3 linked regions of the Caenorhabditis elegans genome follow. The protein of the gene in region 1 purifies or fractionates together with the protein of each later gene. This does not show direct contact. Each region holds a gene or a part of one and is shown on either strand. Other genes may lie near its edges.

Region 1 (3,487 bases):
ATCGAAGTATAATTCTTCAATAAAAAGACATCTGAGACGGCATTCAGAGGATTATTATGCGTGTAAGTTCCGCGTTTCAATAAAAATGTACTTTGCTGTTTTGAAACTATTATATGACTTCTTTTCTAGTTGCCCTTAACCTAAAGAATTCGTATTCCGTTAGTATTACAGAGCGGCGTAAGTGTTTGGACACCGTAAAAAATATTGTATACATCAAAAACTGCAATAATTTTCTGACCAAAATTATTACTATCGATCAAAACTCAACGGGTATAATAAGAAACCGACGCTGAAGACTACTGATAATTGATTTTATTTCTGTTTTTGAAAGTTATCGCAACGACAAATTTCACACTATCAGATGGTTGGAGAAAACTCAAATTATTTTATTGCTTATCGCGGCAAATTTATACCTTTAGCAAACATCGAATGGAAATACCTACGCTAGTTTTTCCAAAGCTAATTCTGAAATTTCCGTTTTCAAAAACCTAACTAGATGAAGCTCGAGAACCGTTTAGAAGTAAGAATCGATACCAAACAAATTAGATCGTAATGCGGGTGATGAAGAGAATTATTTACTTTGCCGACTTTCGGTTTATTATAAGAACACTTCTCTTTACAGGCTGACACAAAATAACAGATTTGGGGACATAAAAACATGCAGGAAACGGGGATCTAGAATTCTGTGCTATATAAATAAGTACAAAAGATTCAGGAACACAAAGCAATGAAATTTAGATCTGAGCATCAATCAACTGAGCACCAAGGCCAGCATCGTCGAGAGCAGAATCGCAACGATCGATCTTGGAGAGTCCAGCTTCCTCAGAGATGATCTTGGTGCAGGATTTCGAGTCCGGAGAAGCAGTTTCGGAAGAGGTCCCGAGAGATTCAGTAGTAGCAGAAGAGTCGGCAGCATCACCTGCTCCCTTCTGGTCCTTCTGTTTGCGGTTTTTATTCTTACGCTGCTTTCTTTGCTTCTTTTTCTCCATTGCTACTGCCGGAGCCTCGACAAGCTTTTCAGTTTCCTTTGAATCAAAATCCTCTCCAACAACGATTTTCGGTTTACGATTCTTACGGAAGCGAGAGAGAAGCTGATGGCGATATCTAAAGTAACTAGTTTTCCAACTTTACTTGTCAATCAATAACTCACTTCGATCCAGAAACATTCACCCCGGCTGGTCCGGTGACATTTGCAGCCTCAGGTCCATTCTTACCATCGACCAGATCGAAGAGCACTTCCTCCTCATCGGCAAGTGTCCGAAGGTAAAATTTCTCAGTGTCCGATTTGGAAATAGCTGTTTGGTGAACGAAGACATCCTTCTCTCCATCACTACGGGAAATGAACCCATAGCGACGAAGTACAGAGTACCACTTCACCTTTCCTTGAAGTCCAGCGGTAAGAACAATCTTCGCCTTCTGCTCCTCCTCCCAAATGCGTATGCGCTCGGCAGCTGGCAGACGCTAAAAATCATAAAATTGTAAATGTTGTACATTAGCACGTCATGCATCATAAAGAAAACGAACTACTTCAAAACAGTCAATGGTAGTTCCCAAAGAAGTGAGTTTTAAAAAAACTTACATGCTTGCTTGTATCATCCTTGCTTGGCGATCTTTTCTTGCCGATGGAGAGATCGTCGAGTTTCTTTTCGATGACTTGCTCATCTACTTCGACAGCAGTATTCGCAGTGTCCGACATTTTCGCCGTAGTTGCTCTTAGCACTTGAGGTACTGAAAAACAAGACTACATTGAGTGACTGAAGCTTCAAGGGTCGACGGCGTGCAGAAGAAAAGAAAAAAGTCGAAAAATGACAGATTAAGTGATAAACGCTCGCGGGCCTGTGGTCCCGTACGACCGTAACCAGCGTACCTGCACATCAAACATTTGGCGGCGCTTCAAGGTTTTAAACGCATTTCTTACATTTTTTTGTTAACAAATTTGTTTTCTTATTCAATGTTACACACATTTTCATTATTTTTTGTTGGTATTTGCAGAGCGAACGCATATAAAAACTACAAAATATATGAAAGAAACTGAACTTGATCGTCTTTTCTCTTGGCTTGCTAGGAAACATTACCCATTCAAGAGAGAATGGCTAAGAATATGCGTCCAGTATATCGAAGGATCACTCGGACAAAGAATTAAAACTGTTGATGTGAAGCAGATTGGTGAACTTGTCATACAACAGTTTTTGAATTCAAAAATATCCGAAGCTTTGGATCCCACCATGAAAATCCCAACGAGCGCAGTAAAAGTTGTCATTGTTAAAAGAATGATTTTCCAGGTTATTAGTTTGAAGATCTGCCGAAAATCAACAGGAATATTTTTAGGTTATTTCCTCCACGAATATATCAACATCCTTGTACGAGCAATTGTCAGAATGTACTCGACACAACGAAGATTTGGCTTGGTTTCATGGCGGATCCAAAGCTGATCACGAAGAAGAAAATCGCGACAAAGAAAAAGATGTGGCCTCTGATCGCATGAATCATACGCAGACGAAAAATGCAATTAAGAAACGAGGAATGCTGAAAATTGAGCTCACCGATGGTGTGAATACTTTGAAAGCAATCGAGTTAGACGAAGTATTTGATGAAAAAATTATGCTACCCGGTGCAAAGATTATTCTCACAGGAAAAGTTAAATGTCGTCGTGGAAATCTTCTACTGGATAAATCTAATTGTGCTTTTCTGGGCGGCCGAGTGGAATCACTAAGTTTTGATAAAGTGGCACAATTATCAAATGCATTGAAGGTTGACTTAGACGCGGAGAAGAAACGAAGAAAGTAAGTTATCACTTAGATACATTAGAAATCAGACATCATCTTAGCTTGATTTAATTCTTCTAGTAAATTCAATTTTCAGAGCATCTCTGGAAAACGCTGCTGCTTCTGTATCACGAAATAACAAGAAACAAATAGACAAGAAAAATCTTTCCCTTAATCAATCATCGCTTTCTCCATTTTTAGTCAAAACAAGTCGAATAACGGGAGAGGTCACTGTAAGTATTTAATCTAGTTCCACTACACTTCTTTCAATGGCTTAAAAACAGTTCTGAAAATTACAGGTTCCGGTGAAACAGTCTTTGGTGCCTACTGCGTCACGTATTCTACCATCTTCCGTAGCAGTTATTCCCAGCATTCAAATAGAGAAACCAACAGATCCTATTGAAAATTGGGATTTTTCAATCGAAGAAGTTCCGCAAGAACCAACTCCAGAACCACCAAGTCATCATGTACGGGGCCTTGTTGAACATTATCCATTGCGTTCAAAACCACAAGATCCGCTCCCACCACCTCCAACGAAGCGTTTATCTTCATTAATAATTGATAAAAATTCGATTTCAAAAGTGTCCCAAAACATTTCAAATCAGGTCGAGAAAGGTCTACTGCAAAACAAGACGATCGAAGATTGGACTTTCAATTCGACAAATTCCTTTGACAAATCTAAAAAAGTTATGTCTATTGATAACTCTAAAGATCAAAAAATG
Region 2 (5,315 bases), on another chromosome or scaffold:
AGGCTAGCTGTTAAAGTAGAATCAGATGGAAGGATATGGAGGAGAGATTTATGGTGAACGACAGTATCATTATTGAAGTTTGCGCGAACATTGTGGAGATGACTGGATGTGAGGATGATGTAGATGATTTAAACGAAGAGTTCTCTTTTATTATGTGATAGTTTGTAGAGGTTAAAATTACTCGGGTGAAAGTCATAAATAAATTTTTATGAAATTAAAAACTGCACCGTTCTAAGTCGCTCACAAGTTATGTAAATTGCTGCACTTTTGTGTTTTTTTCTAACAATTTACTGTACATTTATTGAGCCAACAAATTGATTGTTCGCCTCTTTCCGATTCAATTGGTTCTCTGCGACCAAGGAATTTTCGCCAGTGTGTAATGGAAATAACTCTCCACTAGTTACTATGGTTCCAATTTTATGTCTGTTTTGGTATGCCATGCACACTTCCGCCCCAGTACAATATATAACCATTTTTTCAAATTTACTTCTCTACCAACATTACCGCCAGAAAACAATGTTTGAAATTTATTCACAAAACAAAGCCTCAATCTCAGAATCATCATCAAAATTGTGTAGGAACTCTATTGAACATAAAAATTTTCCGATTCTGGTAATATCTGATTTGGAGGTTCTCTCTGCAACCAGGGTAGCGGAAACGCCAAACGTTCGGTAAATTTGTGGTGGGGTCGTCGATTCTGCGGAATGGCTCTCCCAAAAAGTTAACTTCAAAAATGGATTCATCAACGTCAGTGTCGGTGAACTCGGCTTTGAATTGACGGAATTTAGAAGACAATAGGAATTTCTGAAAAAAAAGTTTATTACCTATCAAACCTGCAAAACCTATCAAACCTGCAAAACTAACCTCCTTCAAATATAAAACATCTTCCATTGAAATTGCCTCCAATCTTATATCGACTTTTGCAAAGTGAATTACCGTTTTAATGCTCGAACTTGGCAGGAAAATATTGATCATAAATTCTTCTGCATTTCTCCAATGCGCCAGACTTGCGAGCTGTTCCATAAATTCATTTAAGATAAAACCAGACGGGTAGCGTCTTCTCAATTCAATTACTTTTATCGAGCTGGAGTCTGAGAGTAGAAGTATTCGAGCCATAAGCTCTAACTCGTCAGTTTCAATGGTCATTTTTTCTACTGGAAGAAAAACGACCCGTTTGATGATCCCTTCCAGCAGTTTTATCATAAATTGATTTAAAGAGATCTTCGGGGCAAGAGTCAGCAATTTGCGAATTTCACGAAATTCAGGTAACCCATTGAATGGCTTTAGGATGACACGAAACCCTTCCAAGACAGACTTCTGGTTTTCCAAAATGGTATAAAAATCGTTTGAAAAATCTCTAATATCCGCTTCAAGCATTTGCGCCTGTTGGCACATTTTGTCACTCCGTACGACAGGACGAGGAGTGTATACAATTTTTTTGTGATTGTTTCTGCCGAATACTTCCATGTAGATAACTTCAGTTTCCACGCGAATTTTTATTGCAACCAATTTGGGGTCAGGTTTGATATATTCAATGCACTGGCGAATTTCATAAGAGACTTTACGGAGCACTACTCTGAAAGTATGAGAGTTGCGCTCAGAATTTAGCAAGTTCTCTCTTACAACTCATAAAAGTCGAGGCCATGCACAATGTGCTCCATTATCACCGGGTTCCGAAAACATGATAACCACGACGTTGATGATTCCGTCCTGCTATCAATGTGGGGTTGCATTTTGCTAAGAAAATATTCCTTCATAAGACGCTGTAAAAAAATTATCCAATGTTGCATAAATTGGCTTTTTTTGCTTTAAAAAATATATATATTGTCTTTGATTCAGAAAAACCACAAAAGAAAACCAAAATAATCGCGAAAGAATCAACGATTGGTTAATGTTTTTGAATTCCCCCAAAATGAGAACTGCGACCAATCAGCGACTCGCTCCGCCCCTTTTCAAACCAATCAGACGAAGAGGGTAGAGTTCGAAGACGCTGATTGGTCTGGGAAAAGCCACACTCAATTTCGGACCAATCAGCGTCTTGGAACTCTGCACACTCTACCTGATTGGTTGGTAAAGGGGTGGAGCAAATCGCTGATTGGTCGCAGTTTTCATTTTGGAGGGAATTCAAACAGGGAAAAACTGTTGGTTTTTAAAATTCTTTCGCGATTCAAATTTTTGATTGATTCTTAGGAGCACATTTTTTCCCCTCTAACAAAGAGTTACTCACCTGAACAGGCCACAACTTATCTCCATCTGAAAATTGACGCGAGGGAGTTAAAATTTTGAATCCTTTGGATTTGTGCACAAATTCTAGATCATTTTGAATAAATCGAACTTCCTCACCAGACTGATTGATTCGTTTTTCACCTATCAAATTGTTCAAAAATGATTCTGTAACGTCTTCGTCCAGACAAACGTAGTAAATTATAAAAGTGTGAAGACGTGACGCACTGGAAGCATTCTGCAAATTCTTGAAATAGAAAATAGTTTCAAAACTTTAAGTTCTACCTTTACAAGCGTCGTTATGTCATCTGTAGATATTCTTGAAGCTTTACAAAATGCAAAGTCAAAATGGCGAAAATTGTCAAATGGTATGGAAACAATGAAGCCGAAAAGTTCAATGATTTTTGCATTTTTCCAATGCTCCATCTTCACAATGTCTTCTAAATCTAGCGTATTTCTGTTCGAACCGGAAATATGCAATCTTAGCAATTTGCTTGGATTAAAACATTTTAAGGCGAATCGTAGTTGAGAAACATGATCTGCTTGCAGGTGGAGCGTGCAAGCAAAGAGTTCCGTCGTGTTAATCCGAAATTGTTCATAAACCCGATTCACAAACGGTTCGCTGTCCACATAATCTGAGTCAAAGTAGTCTACTCGCACTTTGATATTTTCGGCGAACCTCGAGCTTTTCAAGATATTTGCCAAGTCTTCGCACACAACATCAATGTAGTTTTTCTCTTGCAGAAGGATTTTCTTGTATTGTGCCAATTCGAGTTGCGTGTCGTCTTCTTTATATCTATATATTATTGTAGACCTATTTGGATATTCCTCAAATTCCAATCTGAGTTCTACAAAATGATTGAAAGCAAGACGTAGAGATAACACGGTTAGAGTCGACTCGTTTGCGATTCCTAGCAATTTGAATGCATATGACATTGATTTCTGAAAAATTAGATAATTAGAACTTTTCAGAGAATTCAAGATTTTTTTTAGTCTTCCAAAAGGTTCTGGAATATTTTTCTAATTTCCAGAATTTTTGAATTTCCTGCAAAAACTTGTAAGAACAAATCTAAATTCAAGTGCGTAGTATGTTGGGGGCTGTAAAAAAAGGAACCTTAATAATAATGAAGATGTACGCAGGATGCTGGTCTAGTTCAAGCAAAGTTCAATAAAATATGTGTAACAATGACAAAATGTAAAAATAATTGATTATTTATTCAAATATTATTTGAGGAAATATTCTAGAAAATATAAAATAATTTAAATTAGAAAGAAAAAAGCAAAATTTGCTTTACAGCATAATAAATATTACCATTATAGCGGAGCCCGATTTTGCATTATAACTCTAAAAAATACAAATAAAAATACAACCTCAACCAAATGTAGTCCTTATCAGATTTTCACGTGGTTGTCTATTGTCATGAAAAAGTCAGTCCCCTTATCAGTAAACACTTTTGAGCGTACGAAGAGATCGATATTCATAACCTTCTGCCTGCTTACATTTGTATGCTATTTGATATATTTTACAGTCTTTAAATATTTTCTTTCCTGCTATTATCTCTCTAAATTTTCAATTTTTCAGATAGCAATGTCATATGCATTCGAATTGTTGCAAGTCTTAAACAATGACGCTATAAGGGAATTAACAATTTTCGCGTCAAAGAACGATTTTGTGCAACTTGGACTAAAATTTGAAAGTCTTGTGAAAAAGGTCAATATATTTTATATTTATAAAGAAGAGGATACACTATTAGGAGTAACAAGATACAACAAGCGGCTAGTTGAAGACAAAAACTACATTGATGTGGCGCGCGAAGACTTATTTCATTTTTTGACAAATGCCAGATTTGGGGAAGATATCGAAATTTGTATACGATACAACCACCACAATGAGGAAACCGTAGGAATTGCGAATTGTGTTTATGAACAGTTTAAAAATCATTCACAAACGACAAAAAATCCAATTTATGCTCGCTCACTCCATTTACAATTTGAAAATGTCTCTCAGCTGCATTCCATATTAACATCTTTCAATCCAACCAGTATAAAAGAATTGAGAATCTTCAATTTTAAACGGGTTAAAAAGATATTAGATTTTGGAAGTATTGTGGAAATGGATCATTGGAAGAATGCAAAGATAATTAGCCTTTACGGTTTCTTTGTTAACATACCTTTTGAAAACTTCAGCCACTGCGAAGATGTAACATTGAAAGTCAAGCGTATTTCAGCAGATGACATACAAACGCTTGTGAACGTAACGTGAGCAATTCTGAAAAACAATATATTTGAAACAGTTGCAGATTTGTTCCATCTCCCCAAGTTCGAGACATTTTCATATTGACTACAGCTGTTTGAACAAACACGTCACAGAACAATTTTTGGACAAGTTATATGGTGAACAGCAAATAAATAAGTCTGGGAAACTAGTTCGATTGATTGAAAATAAGATCGAGTTTGTCCACGAATCGTTTTGCAAGTCAATTTATATTTATAAAATCTCTGATAAGAACGATGTGAGTATGGAGGTAGGTAATTGATAAACTATTGTAAATTATGTACATCGACGCTTAATTTAGTTTTTCAATTTTGACTCTACACAAATTCCTATTTCAGACTTCTAAAGTACTAACCAGTCTGCCATCAAAATCAGCGATGTTATGTTTATCCAACCGACTGATTATGGAAAAAATTGTTCGACATTTTGATTTTGCTGAATTGTAAGTCCAGCCCAATTTGTTCATTTTTAGAAACAAACGACGTATGTTTCAGGGTAGTGCTTCGTAGAGTTTCTCGTGGAAGTCGTCGTTGTGTTGATTTCCTTAAGCCAGACCCCAAATTGGTGGCAATGAACATTACGATGAAAACTGCATACATAATAGTTGACGTGTTTGGCAGATACAATAACACATCAATTTTATATAAATATCCTGGTACACGTGTAGCCACTTCCTTTTTGAAAATTGATCACAAAGCGGACATTAACAATTTGTCAGACGACTTGGTTCAACTTTTGAAGAATCAAAAGACTGCTTTGAAAGAACTTTGTGCTACTCTAAAGCCATTGAACGAACGTAATTATTATAATACTACGA
Region 3 (2,833 bases), 980 kb from region 1:
GTGAACTTTAAAGGTACTTTTTCGCGGTTTTATCAACGTTTTTAATTCAAAATCACTCACCTATGCTGGACACTTGATTTTGATTCTTGTAACATTTTCCACATTTCACTTTTCCTCGCATTTTTCATTTTCTCTCCTTCGACGATCAAATTCAATCCTTTTTCGTACATTGCGAGAGTATTTTCCTTAAAAAAACAATTATTTTCAAAGTTTTCATTCAAAATAATAAACATACCCAATCATTAACCTCATCGTAGCATAATCCCTGTTCAATTGATGCATATGCTCCAGAAAATACTGCATCAACCTGAGCAGTATCAGGAATTCTCATAAATATCGAGAACATTGCTGAAAATTTGACTGAAACAAGTGATTCGAATGAGAAAAAACGGCACGAGTAAAAAAACATGCAAGAGACCACACAACAACAGCGAAAACAAGTTTAGTCGTCGGCGTCTCTCTTCTGAATTACTATCTCTGCTCAGTGGCTCGCTATGAGTCACAACAATTTCGAAATCCCGGCGCTAAGCGACTGTGCATAAACTATTTTTCAACGAAAAAGAGGCCAATAATAGAAAGTTTATCCGAGCAAAAAGATTCTAGAAGATAAACATCTTCATAATTCTAAAAAAGTCAATCAACGATCGGAATAGGTGTTGAGGATTTAATCTATTCGACGTAACGCTTGTTCCAGAGTGGGATGTACTGTCCGACGGTTTTCCATTCACAGAAGTAGATGGCCAAAAGGAAAGCGGATCCTCCGTATGCTCCATACGACTTGAAGCTGGAAGAAAATCATAGAACATCCTAACCGAATCCACGTTCATTGTGAAAATGTTTAAATTATTATAAACACTCAAAACAAATAAATTGCGAGTGTTCGCAGAAGACTAGGTAATTAAACCACAGCGGGCTGCTTTTTGTATTTTACAATTTGTATTTAGATGTGAAAGATCGGAATGAAGTTAAAAACTTGTGTTTTTGCGGTGGCAAGTATTTTCAATAAACAATCTATGCTTAAACTTCTTCGTTTTTAGTATTTAACTTACTAATTAGGGTTGGTGAAGGCGTTCTTCACGAAACGAGCTGGCTTCATGTACAGCATGATTCAACCTGATTAGTTTATAATTGTTCAGCTGGATGAGAATGTGCACATCAAAAGTAATTTGCGACAATAACGCAGTTTTCTTCTTGAATACTAAAAACTTCTAATTAAAACAGAAACATATTTTATTAAATTAGGTGTAACACAGCAAGAGAAACGAAACCCCAGGTGGCATTTTGCAACACAAATAAATTAATGGAAGGAATTGAAACAAATAAATACATATTAAAGCTTTTCAGAGTTTATCCCAAGAAGTTGACGACGACAAGATGGAGAATGAGGTTTGCGAAGATGAAATCAGCAAATGCACGTTCTGTCGAGACAGCTGTGAACTCGGAGCGGTTCTCTTGATTTACTTGCATCCTGAGACACGCTAAAACAAAATATTAACGTTTAGAATTAATTGCTTAAAAATACATTTATTTATTATCAATTCATTTGAGGGCTGAAGCGGGGGCCCATTGGAATTTCCAATGTTTATGATACGATGTGAAAATTGCAGTCCATCCGAAACTCAAATGAACATACAATTTATATTTACTTTATTTCGCTTAAGTACCAAACATTTTAAATCAGCGCAAATCTATTAAGAAACCCAGAAACCCTTTTTAGGAAAACAAAGATCACCGTTTTAACCTTTTATTACTGAAAACAATACTCATGTTGCCAATATACTTGAACCCAAATTTTTTGAATAAACAACTCACATGCTAAAACGAACGAAGTGACAGTGGAGATGAAACCAGAGAGGAACGAGTTGAATGGGAATGTACCGACGAGCAAGCAATAAATGAATTGAAAGATTCCGGTGAACAGGATGTATGTCATGTAAGCATCAATGATTTTCAGCTTCGATGATGTTGTCTTTTGGTAGTCATCGAACAGTTTCGAGAGAACTGGAACTACTTGAGCCGCCATTCTGTAATTAATTTAATATCTTTGAGATACAACAGAACAATAAGATAAAATATATTAGAAAGGAGCGAAAAAACATAAATTTTGAATTAGAAAATGCAACCTAGTTATCTTGAAACATGTTCATGAAAAAATAAAATTTAAAGCATTCAGACTTTTATTTTTGCTAGTATAATAAAAGAGAAATGTCTTTCATGACCTGTATTTAACGAATATAAATGTCCCGCAAAGTATAAATCCTTTAAAAATAACAATATTAATATTTAAAAAGCTTAAAAAGAGCAACGTGGCACAACAATCAAGTAAAAAGCGGCGGGCGGCGTTTAAAGGAGCACACATTTTTGCTAGTTGTTTCGCTGCGGGACCAAAGTCCCCGCCCAATTGCAACTCTGCGGCACGCACTTTTGCAGTGGCGCCGCACACTTTCATGTTTTGTTGATTTATTTTTCATTTTGTGAGACACGAGACGTTGAGGGCACTCGGCTGACATCAGAGAAGAAAGAAGAAAAATCAACGATATTTTGCCAATTTTTCCGCCCACAAATTCGAATTAGTGTCTGACCGAATGCCTTGTCATTAACATTCTCTGTACTCTTCATCCCCTATAGGAAATTATGCTCTACACTGTAATCAACCTCCTAGCGTAAGTTTCCTTTGAAATATTCTTGAAAAATGGTTTTTTTTCTAGACAAATCTATTGCAATGGACCAATTCTTCAAACTGTACAAGATTCACACATGTTTCCAGACTCGAAGCACTTCGTCGATATGTCACTAAAATATGATCCAAGTAAGGTTTTTGGTTTTTAATGTT

What was found.
Region 2: the proteins of cey-3 (region 1) and C52E2.4 fractionate together in Caenorhabditis elegans (co-fractionation; one large-scale study listed by BioGRID). This does not show direct contact.
Region 3: the proteins of cey-3 (region 1) and ucr-11 fractionate together in Caenorhabditis elegans (co-fractionation; one large-scale study listed by BioGRID). This does not show direct contact.

The regions. Positions count from the first base shown.
Region 1 is NC_003279.8:5,571,222-5,574,708, forward strand, and holds cey-3 (CSD domain-containing protein), read right to left. Parts: upstream 1,729-3,487; 5' UTR 1,697-1,728; coding exon 1,580-1,696; intron 1,462-1,579; coding exon 1,151-1,461; intron 1,105-1,150; coding exon 735-1,104; 3' UTR 575-734; downstream 1-574. Other genes in the region: rmh-1 (RecQ-mediated genome instability protein 1 homolog), read left to right, coding at 2,022-2,282, 2,329-2,783, 2,863-2,998, 3,065-3,487.
Region 2 is NC_003280.10:1,841,433-1,846,747, reverse strand, and holds C52E2.4 (DUF38 domain-containing protein), read right to left. Parts: upstream 3,604-5,315; 5' UTR 3,536-3,603; intron 3,166-3,535; 5' UTR 3,160-3,165; coding exon 2,509-3,159; intron 2,462-2,508; coding exon 2,228-2,461; intron 1,764-2,227; coding exon 1,624-1,763; intron 1,577-1,623; coding exon 865-1,576; intron 805-864; coding exon 565-804; 3' UTR 511-564; downstream 1-510. Other genes in the region: C52E2.5 (F-box domain-containing protein), read left to right, coding at 3,812-4,477, 4,524-4,748, 4,837-4,940, 4,993-5,315.
Region 3 is NC_003279.8:6,552,267-6,555,099, forward strand, and holds ucr-11 (Cytochrome b-c1 complex subunit 10), read right to left. Parts: upstream 1,114-2,833; 5' UTR 1,106-1,113; coding exon 1,050-1,105; intron 785-1,049; coding exon 670-784; 3' UTR 568-669; downstream 1-567. Other genes in the region: spg-20 (Inheritance of peroxisomes protein 1), read right to left, coding at 61-185, 236-346; Dolichyl-diphosphooligosaccharide--protein glycosyltransferase subunit dad-1, read right to left, coding at 1,348-1,478, 1,813-2,023; tre-1 (Trehalase), read left to right, coding at 2,635-2,663, 2,709-2,809.